4 separate regions of the Mus musculus genome follow, and all the other regions are reported to be linked to region 3. The links are microRNA targets in miRTarBase. Many come from high-throughput screens and were not tested one by one. Region 3 holds a microRNA gene; each other region holds the end of a gene's coding sequence.

What was found. Region 3 holds the annotated microRNA mmu-miR-466f-3p (CAUACACACACACAUACACAC, at 1,767-1,787, shown strand). A microRNA usually pairs through its seed, bases 2 to 8, with sites in the 3' UTR of a target mRNA and lowers its output. Matches are read on the target gene's strand: a 7mer-m8 pairs with bases 2 to 8, a 7mer-A1 pairs with bases 2 to 7 and ends in A, and an 8mer does both.
Region 1: miRTarBase lists Gnb4 as a target of mmu-miR-466f-3p. Seed matches in the 3' UTR shown: 8mer at 1,619-1,626, 7mer-m8 at 3,208-3,214 and 8mer at 3,216-3,223.
Region 2: the mRNA of Mmp11 is a reported target of mmu-miR-466f-3p. Seed matches in the 3' UTR shown: 8mer at 2,110-2,117 and 7mer-A1 at 2,101-2,107.
Region 4: miRTarBase lists Dnm3 as a target of mmu-miR-466f-3p. The part of its 3' UTR that is shown has no 7-base or 8-base seed match.

Annotation. Positions count from the first base shown.
Region 1 is chr3:32,582,496-32,585,721 of GRCm38, reverse strand. Gnb4 (guanine nucleotide binding protein (G protein), beta 4) reads left to right here. Exons shown (of 10, transcript NM_013531.5): 10 at 496-3,226. The coding sequence ends at 602. Among named protein-coding and RNA genes, the nearest start is that of Gnb4, 32 kb to the left of the region's middle.
Region 2 is chr10:75,921,195-75,924,420 of GRCm38, forward strand. Mmp11 (matrix metallopeptidase 11) reads right to left here. Exons shown (of 8, transcript NM_008606.3): 8 at 2,028-2,921. The coding sequence ends at 2,788. It overlaps Smarcb1 (SWI/SNF related, matrix associated, actin dependent regulator of chromatin, subfamily b, member 1), which reads right to left and starts at 420. Exons shown (of 9, transcript NM_011418.2): 1 at 109-420. The coding sequence starts at 201.
Region 3 is chr2:10,465,232-10,468,231 of GRCm38, forward strand. It overlaps Mir466f-1 (microRNA 466f-1), which reads left to right and starts at 1,713; the gene lies at 1,713-1,806. The region is part of intron 10 of Sfmbt2 (Scm-like with four mbt domains 2); the gene reads left to right. Mir466m (microRNA 466m) reads left to right here and starts at 1,432; the gene lies at 1,432-1,515. Mir669f (microRNA 669f) reads left to right here and starts at 1,998; the gene lies at 1,998-2,118. It also overlaps Mir669e and Mir669b.
Region 4 is chr1:161,989,156-161,992,381 of GRCm38, forward strand. Dnm3 (dynamin 3) reads right to left here. Exons shown (of 21, transcript NM_001038619.2): 21 at 1-2,936. The coding sequence ends at 2,867. Among named protein-coding and RNA genes, the nearest start is that of 4930558K02Rik, 11 kb to the left of the region's middle.

The DNA.
Region 1 (3,226 bases), not on the chromosome of region 3:
GCCTATGTTAGCAGACCGAGGCAGTGAGCATCAGAGACAATAAATTTCTCAGGCAAATAAAAATACTTTTTCAAAAGTGGACTGTCACGAACTTACTGGAGATGTGGAGTTGCCTTTACATGACTCCCTAGATAGAGAAGTTACTAAACACCAGGTGCCACCCCTGCTCTTGTAGGCAGAAATAGGAAGATGGGGATTTGAAGATGATTTCTGGCCGGGTAGCGAGGTCAAGATCAGCCTGGACTATGTGAGACCCTGTCTTCGATTTTTTTTTTAACACTGACTTTTAAAATTTTGAAAACACAAACAGATGTTCACAAATGATGTAAAAAATTCCAATAGCTTGTGGTGTGTTGTGTCCATATGCTGGACTTGGCTCTAGCACTAGTCTTCCCAGAATGACTGCTTTTTTGATCACCATCTGCATCATAATGCAGAACTATTTTTGCAGTTCTAAAACTTCAGTTTTAACTCTCTATTGATCTTTCTTTGTAGGTGTCCTTGCTGGTCATGACAACCGTGTTAGCTGCTTAGGTGTGACTGATGACGGCATGGCTGTGGCCACTGGCTCCTGGGACAGTTTTCTTAGAATCTGGAATTGAGTGCCATATTTTCTGTTCTCCAATGATACCTGGAGAAATCCGTGTTACAGCCTATAGCTGTGAGGAAAAAAAAAAACCAACCCTCTACCTTCTATTTGCAGATGAAGTTTTTCTATGGAGGTGACTATATATAAAAAGCAGCGTTCAATAAGCTGTAGTTTATTGAAACTGTTGTGACATAAATGGTGGTCAGAGAAACAATCAAGATTAAGCTCCCTTTCTGTGGTCAAAGGCCAGGGTATTCATTGAGTGGTCGTCTTGACTTGAACAGATTCTTGCTTGTGCTCATTGTTTTTCTGTAGATTAGAGTGCACACTTTATAGCAGACAACCATTTGTGTTTGCCATTTTAAGGACTACCATTGAACTTTGTATATATAAGAAATGCCACATTTTTAAAGTGTTGTCATGGAAAACAAGGAAGGGCCTGTGATAGACAGAAGTGATGCTGTAGATTATGTGCTGTCTGAAGGAGGTCCCCTTGGACTGTGACATTGCATTTTAATCTGAAAGTCCCTGACTGCTTCGTGGTTAGGTGACTAAGAGGTGAGGTGGTCCTGAGGGACCCAGTGGCTGTTCATGCATTCTTTGCCATGCTACGGATTTAAGTGCTCATTTTCAGTCCTTTGAGGGGACAGGTGATATGAAGGCCAGGGGTAAAGATTTCACTTTGACATAGGGTACACCCTGAAGAAATGTCATTACAGTCTATTACATTAGAAACCAGTAGACACTGGCACGTGATTTTTTTTGGTATTTTAAGAAGCTCAGCCATTTGAACCATTGGACCTTGCTGTTAATTTTGCCTTCTGAAATGAAGTTTGTAGAAAGTACTAGTATTTGAGAAGTCTGACAAAAACCTGACTTGTCTCTGCATCTGGAGACACTTGCCTGGTGTTCTCTGTAATGGGAGGAAACAGTGTCTCACCTTCTAACATTTGAGAAATGTAAACTCATCCATTCAACTGGCACAAATATATGTATGATTTATATGTCACACATACATATGTGTGTGTGTGTGTATATATATACACACATATACACATATATATGATGGCTTTGTGAATTGTGTAATGTAAAATCTATGTAATGTAAAAACAGGTATAAACTATTTGTACCCTTGAACTTTTACTTTTCCATTTTTGCGGTGCTGCCGAAATCTAGGCCTTGTGCCCACTAGCCAAGTGCTGTACTTAGTACAGCCCTAGCTCCTCAGATCCAAGCTTTCTGCTGCCCTGTAGTATTGTTCTCCGTAGTATGATGTAGTCAAGGAGCTTACTACAAAGCTAGTCTAGAGTTGACCACTCCTAGAGCCTAAAACATTGTTTCAAAGGGGCTCAGCTGGCAGCAAAGATGTGCCAACTGTTCAGTAGTGTCTGTCACTGGGATGTCCCGCCTCCTAACGGAACAGACAGCTCTCCTCTTCAGTTCTCTCCTGTAGATTCAAATGATTGACAGTAACAGACTGTTATGTCTTGCTGGTGCCGTCTCCTTGGGTTACTTGGATGTATACAAACACATTGTAAAGCTGCTGTCTAGCAGTTTCTGTGTTAAAGTTGATCACCTGTAACTGTAACCTTAATACTTCCAAACTGAACCTGTGAGTTTTCATCCTTGTACTGTGAATGTGCCCATGTACATAACAGCTGTGATCAGACCAGCATCCCTTTTGTTTATGAAAATCAATTGATCTTAATACAGTGGGAAGACCCTTCGCCCACACAGCTCTAGGGTCCGACCTGACCAGGGCAGAAAGGGAATGAAAAACAGACACACACAGGAAAGCTGGGGTTGGGTAGACTGGACATTGATGGAGAAACCAGCACCCAGAAACTCAGAGTTTATTCCATGGAGAAGCACAAAGAGGCAGTGCTGTTGTATACAGATAAAAAAGGAGGAAACATCCGAGGTATACTGCTGGATCAAGGAGACAGGTTTAGCCAATCTCTTCAAGAGCAGTCCCCATATGTAGGGAAGCAATCCTCAGGCTGTAAATATCAGGATGGGGCTCAGGGAGCTAAGGTACACATGTTCTACACATACCATCAACACTCATGCTCAACCCAGGGGGACTCTGCCATTCTCGTGGGTCTAAGGTAAGGGTCCGTGATAGGGCAGTCACTCTGGATGTCCTCTGCTCCCTACAGGATAGAGGTGAACTGAGATACAGTATCGAAGAGAAACAGACCATCGTGGCAGGTGTGAATGTGTACCTTAATCCTTAATTTGCGGGACCCCTTTGCCCTTGTCTATTGTGCACTAGGGAGTGCTCTCAAATAGGGCACGAAAAGAAAACCTGACGGTGCTGAATGAAGTCTAGCCTTCCTTGTACCTCTGCCCAGAAAGTTCTATCGCTGGGTTGTATCTGCTGCCTGCCCACCCCAGCCAAGAGCTGAGGCGCATGAGAGGATCCTGAGCATCCCCAGAAGGGTGTGTCTGCTGTGTGGCTCAGAATTCATACTAAAACCTCGCTCAAAACTAAGGAAAAAAAAACCATAACAAAAAACCTCGCTCAAAACAGCATTTCTATTAGGTATAAAGGGGGCTTAATGTGGGGTAGAGTGCTTGCAACGCAAGGCCCTGGGTTCAGTCCCTAGCTCTGTGTGTGTGTATGTGTGTATAGTC
Region 2 (3,226 bases), not on the chromosome of region 3:
GCCCGCCTCCGCGATGAATGGAGGCGCGCTCTCGGGGAGCACTAGCCCGCCCCGGGACTCGAGCCGGCCAGCCGCTGCCCGGGAAGCCGAGAACGCGCCGCGGGCTACCTCGGAGCCGATCATGTAGAACTCCCCGTCGTCCTCCAGCTGAAACTTGACGGGCTTCTGCCCGAAGGTCTTGCTCAACGCCATCATCATCATGGCGGCGGGGGAAACCGGCAGCCGGGGTCGAGCTGGAAAGAATCCGGTGGGCTAGGGCGGGGCCGAGGCGCGTCGGACCGAAAGGAACGGAGGCCTGGAGGTGAAGGTCGGGCAGGGCAAGCCGGGCGAACCGGGCGAGCGCTCGTGTCACTACTGGGCTCCTTGGCCGTCTCTGCAACGAGCAGGCCGCCCTCGGTGCGCATGCGTGGAGAAGCTGACGCTAACGTGCGCGCCGCAGCCTGCGCGACTCAAGGCCGAGCGCGTTCCCGCAAGCCCTTAAAGGGACCCGAGTTCTTTTTTGCTTCCTAGGCTTCCTCCCTGGGCGGGTAAGGAGGAAAACCTCTCAGCGACCGAAATAGCCACTGAGGCCCTGACTCAGGCGGTAGCTTTCCTAGTCGCATAGCCAGAGCTGGCACTCCGCCCCGGGATGAAGGAAAAAAATGAGACGTTAAGCGAGGAGAAGGACCGCTCTATCTGGAAGCCCGAGGGAAGCTGGGTGGGCATGGCGACCCCACGCTAGCGCCTCAGGTTTTCCACCCGAAAGTGCGTTAGGAATAGCTAGCTATCCACTCCAGGCCAACAGCAGTTCCCGAGGCAGTAGGGATGGGAAGAATGACAATACTGGATGGAGGTTGGTACTATTCAAAGATCTAGGTGATGTGCCAGATGAACGGGAGGAGGCACTTGCATTCCTTCCTTACCTCTGCAAGCTTGGTGCCCACAAGCCCAGCCCTGGTCTGTGCCTCTGCCCGCCTTGGGGCATAACAGCCCCGAGAGAAGACAGTGCTTCTGGAACGTGTCCAAGCAGTCCACCCCCTGTTGAACAGAGCCGTGACTCCAAAATGTTTAATGTTTATTGTAGCACTATTACAGGAGCTTAAGTTATAGCCTAGCCTAGGTAGCTATTCAACAATAGAGGAATGGATGAAGAAAATGTAGTCTAGGCTGGGTGTGGTGGTGCAAGCTTTTAGCTTCAGTTCCAAGACAGTCAGGGATATGTTGAGCAACTCTGTCCCAGAAAACAAAAAAGAGTGTGAAATGTGTGTACATGTGTTTTTTGTTTTTCAGCCACAAAAGTGAAATTACATTGTTTTCAGGAAAATGGATGCAACTAAGATATCATATTAAACAAATCAGGCCAGTCTCAGAAAGACAAATACGTTTTCTCTCATTTGTGCTTTCTAGATTTTCCTTAGATACATAAAATATGTATTCCACAGAACATTAAAGTAAAAGTGACATTGTGTATGGGAGCAAAGGGACTAACAACCTAGTGTAGGGGAGGTGGGGGCATGGTGGGATGTGCAAAATACAAACACTTCTCTGAAAGCAGCAGGACAAACAGTGGCCAGCTTCATAAGGGTCAGTCTAATGAGACTGCAATTGTGACTGGGGTCATGATGAAGGAGATGTTAAAGAACTAGGAAAGGCTGTGGTAACCAGGAGTTTGCCCACTGATCTCACAGCCATGGGAACCAGAGGGTTAAGGGCCAGGGGTGGCTCACACTTTTAATCCCAGAACTCCAGAGTCATAGGCAGGCAGACCTCTGTGGGTCCCAGGACAGTCAGGGATGTATAATGAGACCATGCCTCCCTCAGCTCCCACCCCCAGTAGTTAGGCATGATCTGATAAAATGATACTGCTTTTGCTGAGACAGCCAGTCAGTTAGAAAGCCACTGTGGGTATACCTCTATTTGTTCAGGAATGGGACAGGAGAGACTCTAAATATGGGTCCTAGCCCCAGGGAAACAGTCTTGGGGCACAAAGGCTCTAACCCTTACTCCCAAATCTTGACTGCAAATTGCAAAGAAAAACAGACAGGCGCTTAGAAAACACTCATGTTTAATGACAGTCTTGGCTTTTTTGGGTTTTGTTTTTTGTTTTTTTAAAAAAGTCTTTATACACTGTATACACATGTACATGGCTTAGAGGGTACCTGTGCTAGGAAGAGGGCCCCAGAAAGAAATGGCCTGGGGCAAGGCTGTGAGGTATGTGGGGCCTTTGAGGTTCCGTGTCTCTGGGAGGAAGCAGCTGCCTCCTTGGCTGGCTGTGTACCTTTTGGCCTGAGTTCCAGGAAGCACTTGTCTGAATCACCTGCCAGAATATGATCAGTTCACTATCTCTCCAGAGCTGACTTACCAGGAAAGATACTGGTCCAGTTGCTTAGCAGGGGCAGCATGGTACCCTGGGCATCTCATTACCAACACCACTCCCAACAGGAACCTCATTGCAGGTGATTCCTGAGTTTGTGTGGGGGTTCTACTTTGAGGGACAGAGATGGAGACCTTGGGCAACCAGGCTGACTGTGGATTATTGGTAGCTGAAATATTGCCAGCCCAAAACCTCCCTTATTTTTAAGTAACACCAAAGCCTTTGCCTAGTCTGAGACAATTGTTGGCAGGTGACCATGACCAGCATGGTCGTTCCTACAAACAGTGGCTGCACCCCAACCCACTCCCCTGAGGAGACATAGGCCCTGTCTGTCCCATGCCTGAAGCCCAGAGCCACAGATATGGCTGTGGGTCTCTTACATGATCTAAGTGCCCTGGCAGGAGTCAGTACCCCTGAATGCATCCAAAGTGTTGTCAGCGGAAAGTATTGGCAGGCTCAGCACAGTCAAAGAAGTCAGGACCTACGGGGCGAGGAAAGCCTTCTAGGACCTTCACCTTCACGGGATCAAACTTCCAGTAGAGATGGCCACGAAGGAAGTAGGCATAGCCTGAAAAGAGAAGGACATCAGTCAGCCAGTGGATACTAAGCTCTGCACGAGCCTAGGGACACACACCATGCAGGCCTTGGTCACTAGTGAATTCTTTGGGATCTGCCGAGCTAGGCATGGTAGCTTCGTGTCTGTACTCCCTGGACTCAGAAGGTAGAGGCAAGAGGATAAGGAGTTCAAGGGCATCCTTAGCTACATACTAAGTTTGAGGCTAGCCTGGACTACAAGAGACCCTGCCTTCAAAATAAATAAGTTGCAGACTCCAGAGCTGGCTTTACTACAGCCTTCTTTCCCTCTGTCTGTCT
Region 3 (3,000 bases):
CATTGATCCATTTGAATGATAAGTGACTTAGAGTTTTAGAGATGCTGCAGTACTGGGCCACCAAGGATATGCATGTGTGTATAGTTGTGTGCATATTCATTTTTCTATATGAATATGCATATACACGCATGCACACACACTCACAGGAATGGCCAGAGCTATGTCTCAGGTAGGAGGTGAATATTCTTGCCAGTGTCAGGAGGCTACAGAGTTCAAATTCATGCTTAACTTCATGAAGAGTTAGAGATCAGCATGAGATTCATGTGATGCCCACCAAGAAAGTGCATGTGTGCATAGTTGTGTGCATATTCACTTCTCTATGTGAATATGCATATGCACGCATGCACACACGAATGGCACTCATATATCCTTTTGAATGATATGTGACTCAGAGCTTTAGAGCTTATGCAGTACCAGGTCAGAGCTATGTCTCAGTTAGGAGGTGAAATCCCTTGCCAGAGTCAGGAGGTCCTGGAGTTCAAATTCATGTTTAACTTCATGATGAGTTAGAGATCAGCATGCGATTCATGTGATGCCCACCAAAAATGTGCATGTGTGTATAGTTGTGTGCATATTCATTTCTCTATATGAATATGCATATACACACATGTACACACATGTACACACCCACACCCACCCACCCACACACACCACTTAGAGTAATGGCATCATATATCCTTTTGAATAATATGTGACTCAGAGCTTTAGAGCTTATGCAGTACTGGGCCAGTGTGTTGTTTCACTCGTTAGCTGAATACTTTTGCCACAGTCAGTATGTTTCAGAGTTCAAATTCATGGTTAAATTCATGATGAGTTAGAGATCAGCCTGGGATTCATGTCATGCCCCCCATGTATGTGCATGTGTTTATACTTGTGTGTGCATGTACATGTGTGCATATCAATATATGTACACATACACATACAGACGCACACACATACATGCAGGAATGTCACTTGTCAATCCATTTGAATGATATGTGACGTAGAGCTTTGGAGATTATGTAGTATTGAGTGAGGGTGAGGCTTCAAATACCAGGCTAAAATCCTTGCCAGAGTCAGGAGGATCAGGAGTTGAAATTCATGCTTAACTTCATCAAGAGTTAGGGATCAGCCTGTATCATGTGATGCAGCTTATGTATATACGTGTGTGTTCATGTGCATGTGTGTATAATATAAATATAAATATACATACACACTAACATAGACATGCACGCGTGGAAAAACACACATGAATGGCACTTATCAATCCATTTGTATGATATGTAAATTAGATCTTTCAATACTATGTAATACTGGGCCAGTGAGACATCTCACTCACTAAGTAAAAACGCTTGCCAGAGTCAGGAGAATAAAGAGTTCAAATTCATAATTAACTTCATGAAGATTTAGAAATCATCCTGGGATTTATGTGATGGCCCCTATGTATGTGCCTGTGTGTGTTCTTGTGTGTGCATGTGCATGTGTGTATATGAATATACATATACATACACACATACACACGCACGTACACACACACAAACACACACATACAGGAATGGCACTTATCAATCCATTTGAATGGTATGTGACTTAGAGTTTTAGAGATTATGCAATAGGGGACAGTGAATGTTCTCACTCACCAGGTGTAAACGATTGACAGAGTCAGGAGGATCAGAAGTTCAAATTCATGCTTACCTTCAGTTAGAGATCATCCTGGTATTCATATGTATGTGCATGTGTGTTTACGTGTGTGTGCATGTGCATGTGTGTATATGAATATACATACACATACACACACACATACACACACATGCAACACACACATATGAATGACACTCACTGATCACTTTTAATGATATGTGACTTATAGTTTTAGAGATTATACAGTACTGGGCCAGTGAATGGTCTCACTCAGAAGGTGAAAATGCTTGCCAGAATCAGGAGAATCAGGAATTCAAATTCATGCTCAACTTCCTGAGAATTTAGAGATTAGTCTGTGATTCATGTGATGCCCCCCATGTATGTGCCTGTGTGTATAGTTGTGTGTGCATGTGCATGTGTGTATATGAATATACATATACATACACACACACGTATAAACGCAAGCACAAACACACACAGAGGAATGGCACTCGTTGATCCATTTGAATGATATGTGACTTAGAGCTTTAGAGATTATGTAGTATTGGGCCACTGAAACTTTTCATTCACCAGGGAAGGCTTGCCAGAGCATCAGTATCCAGAGTTCAAAATCATGCTTAACTTCATAATGAGTTAAAGATCAGCCTGGGATTCATGGGCTGTACCCTATATATGGGCAGGTGTGTGTCTTGTGTGTGCATGTTCATTTGTGTATATGAATATGAATATACACACACTTACACACTCATGCACACACACACACATCCATTTGAATGATATGTGTCTTAGAGCTTGAGAGTTTAGGCAGGACAGTGCCAGGGAGAGATCTCACTCACCAGGTAACAATGTTTGCCATACTCAGGAGGATTAGGAGATGAAATTCATGCTTAATTTCATGATGAGTTAGACATCAGCCTAGAATTCATGGGATGTCCCCCATGAATGTATGTGCATGTGTATATAGTTTTGTGTGCATGTGCATGTGTGTCTATTAATGTACATATACATACACACAAACATATACACGCATGCGCAGATACAGACACAGAAATGGCTTTCATCGATCCATTTGTATAATATGTAAATTTACTGGGCCAGTGAGACATCTCACTCACCAGGCAAAAACATTTCTCACAGTCAGGAGAATCAGGAGTTCAAATTCATAATAACTTCATGATGAGTTAGAGATCAGCCTTGTGTTAATGTGATGACCCCTATGTATGTGCATGTGTGTATATTTATGTGTGCATGAAAATGTATGTATATATGAATATACATATACATACATACCCACACAAACATGCACACACACACAAACACACCCACAATTGCCACTTACCAATCCATGTGAATGATATGCAACCTAGAGGTTAGAGATTG
Region 4 (3,226 bases), not on the chromosome of region 3:
TTCTAAATTTAGAATGCTTATATCACAGGAACTGTTTGGTTACACTTTTGGATAGAATGGGTATGTATCTGCAGAAACAGAGAAATTGCCAGTAAATAGACCCCACTGCTCTTCTATGTTATAAAACACACCTAAAGGCAATATCCAAGAAGGTATTCTTGGTAGATGATTTTTGGAAATATATCTGTGCTAAATCGATCCTGTTTCATAGTCCATCCACAAATGGTTGGCTATTCCAGCTAGCCAATCTGCATGCGTAAGTTAGCATGTGACAGGAAAGCTGGCTTTTACTTATCAACCATGTACCTTTTCAAATCCTAAAAACACTTTTTAAAGTTATTATTATGCTAGACAAGATAAAACTACATCTATTGCGCTGACAACCTTGGTGTCCTCAACCAGGAGGTTGACTGAGAGATTAGAAACTGAGTGCGAAGCGAAGGTCCTTCAAGCTTACATTCCCGTCCTGAGGCCTGACGTGCACTCCGCACACGCCAGTGAAACCTCAGGCTTCGTTCATGTTGGTGTCTGCTGTTAGCAGAGTGCAAACCCTCTGAACTGCAGCAATCTGAAAATATTCTGGGGTGCCAGTGTTGAACTTCTGGGGAGGGGGTGGTGGAGTAAGGGATTATAGCTCGGTAGCAAAGAGAACAAAACTGTCCTGACACAGGGAGACATTTGGGACAAGGAATCTGTGGATCAAGAAGCAAGAGCTAAGGATGACAAGTGCCATTCCGTTGCTCACGACCGTCTGGGATCAATGGGAAGAAATGTGGAGAGACAAATCCCCAGTTTTCCTTGACATTGGTTTGTGCTGATTCAAGAACACACCAGTGGTTTTCTGAGTTAGTTTCTTCCAACAGAAGGAAGGGTTTGAAATATAGCAAGATGTACAAGCAGAGGAGGGACAAAGCCAAACCCTGAAGTATCTATTTCCTTAGCTGCCTGTTTTAGAGAATTCAGAGGAAGAAGCAAAGGGGGCGCTGAAAGGAGGGATTTGTGGGGAGACCTCATTGCCCACGAGTTGTTTGATTATAAACATTTGCTTAATGTATGTTTTTTTTTTTCATTTAGTTGGGACACTGTTTTCAAAGACAATGTGCATGTCTTATACGAGTTCCATTCACGGTTTTTTTTTCAACAGGGAAAAAAATTTAGAGACATTAGAGCTCTTCTATGTCACTTAAAGGTTGAAAAATACCCCTTTGTATGTTGCATGTTCTCTAATTTTTGCCAATTAAAAGTGGGATCTAACCCATTAGAATAAGTTCAATGCAGTGGCATTTCACTTGGAAAAAAAAACTTTTTAAAATAATGGTTAAAAGTTTTTACATCATATTTTATAGCCACTTGCTTCGGGTAGAAACTGCACAGGAAATTAAAGTGAAGTTTGCATACAAATCATGTTGACTGCCTTCAAAAGGAGATGTTGCAGTTAGTAAAACCTGATTTACCTTTGTGATTATGGAATAATGTCTGGGGACGCTACAATTCGGTGAAAGCCCGCCCGCTCTGCCGTCTGGGTGCGGTTAGCAGACAGAATTCCATTTGGCTTCTAGCTGGTTCCTATGTGCTAACCATCTGGTCATAGGTAGTTCAAAACGTAGCCTCGAGGTTGAACTAATAACCTCTAGGCTAGGCTGCTCATGTAAAGTTTAGAGATCTGAGAGGCTACAGACTTGTTCTGCAGCTCAGTATGGCCAGGATGTTGTTTTTCAGGAGCAAGCTGGAAACACGTGGGCCGTGCTCTTAAACCATGGCATCGCTGATGGATCACCTTCCCATACCAGGTTCCATACTTGCCATGCAATTGTGTCAGAGTAGGCTGTAAGATTTAAGGGAGTCTGGAATGGGTGGAGACACTAAAGTCGTTTTTTAAAAAGGATTCTTGTATAATCATTTATATATAAACCATAGAAATCATGTGCTAGCATACATTTAACTTTTTTCCAGCCAAAATAATAGTCACAATAACTAAACGGAGTTAGTTACCCATGCTGTCCAATCAACTGGAAAATTAAACACTTGCAGTGTCAGCCTTCCTTCATCATAGCTCACAAAGAGGTAAATAATAAGATAATAAATTCTATCTTCTCAGACACTTTTAGAATGGCAATTAGTTTTTGCTTCTTCTTTGAACTCTGAAAGGAGCCAAATCTATCAACTGATTGCCAGTACCCCTCACGCTTTGCCTGGATGGTGCTTGTGCCTCTAGCACAAAGCACAGCACACAAGCCCCAGGAGAGGCTCTCCAGGGCAAGCCCTGGGCACTTGCCCTTTGCAGACTGCCTCGGGCTCCTGAAAAGCTTTCATCTTCAGCAATGCTGATTTAAGAACCTTGCTTTTTTTTTTTTTTAAAGCAGTCCTATGAAATAAGGGGGGTGGGGGGAAGAAGCCTAAATAAGCAATTGCGGACTGAATGGTGGCGTTAACATCAGAAGGCAGAGTTTCTGCTGCCCTAAACAGAATGTGCGGAAGGTCGGTATGGTTCCAAGCTCACACTCTTGTATCTGTTAAGAGTCGTCATAAGCTTCTCTGTAGACAGCTTAGAAAGCTCTTCCAAAGCAACTTCTGATATATGTTGGGTAGACAAATGGTACCAAAGTATAGGGCTGCTGTATAAAACTACCTTGGTCAATACAACATATTTAAGCCTCTCTACAGGTTAGCAGGTTTTCGGAGTCAAACCCCAAAGGTCTGACATACCATGAGCAATGAAGATGAGTTGGTGAACACATTAGTAAGACTGGCTACTTGCCTATAGAGGTCCATACATGCGACTACTCATGGTTGAGCTGCAAAGGTTACCGAATGTGCTGCGTTTGCATAAATCATTAGTGGTTAATTGCCATGCCGGACACTTCGTTTAGTCTAACAGTGAGGATTCTAGTGGACGGATTATAGTGGGGCGAGTTGGTGATGGGGGTGGCCTCCGGCTAGAAAAAGAGAAAGAGACAGGTAAGGGAACAGGTGTTGTAGCAGTAGTTGTCTCTTCAGAACACTGACATAGAGCCACCATGCGCATGCACATGCAATTCCGGCCAGGAAGAGTGGCCACACACTGCAGCGACTCTCAGACTCTCCTCTCTGAGTCATCGGGGTAGCCCAGTTCCCAGTGGAAATTGTGTAGTTTTTCGTTATGCAAATCTTTATGAAAACCAAAGAGATTTTATTTCCCCCCAATACGAGTGCAAATGTGGAATGACTTAGAGGCCACTGTGAAACA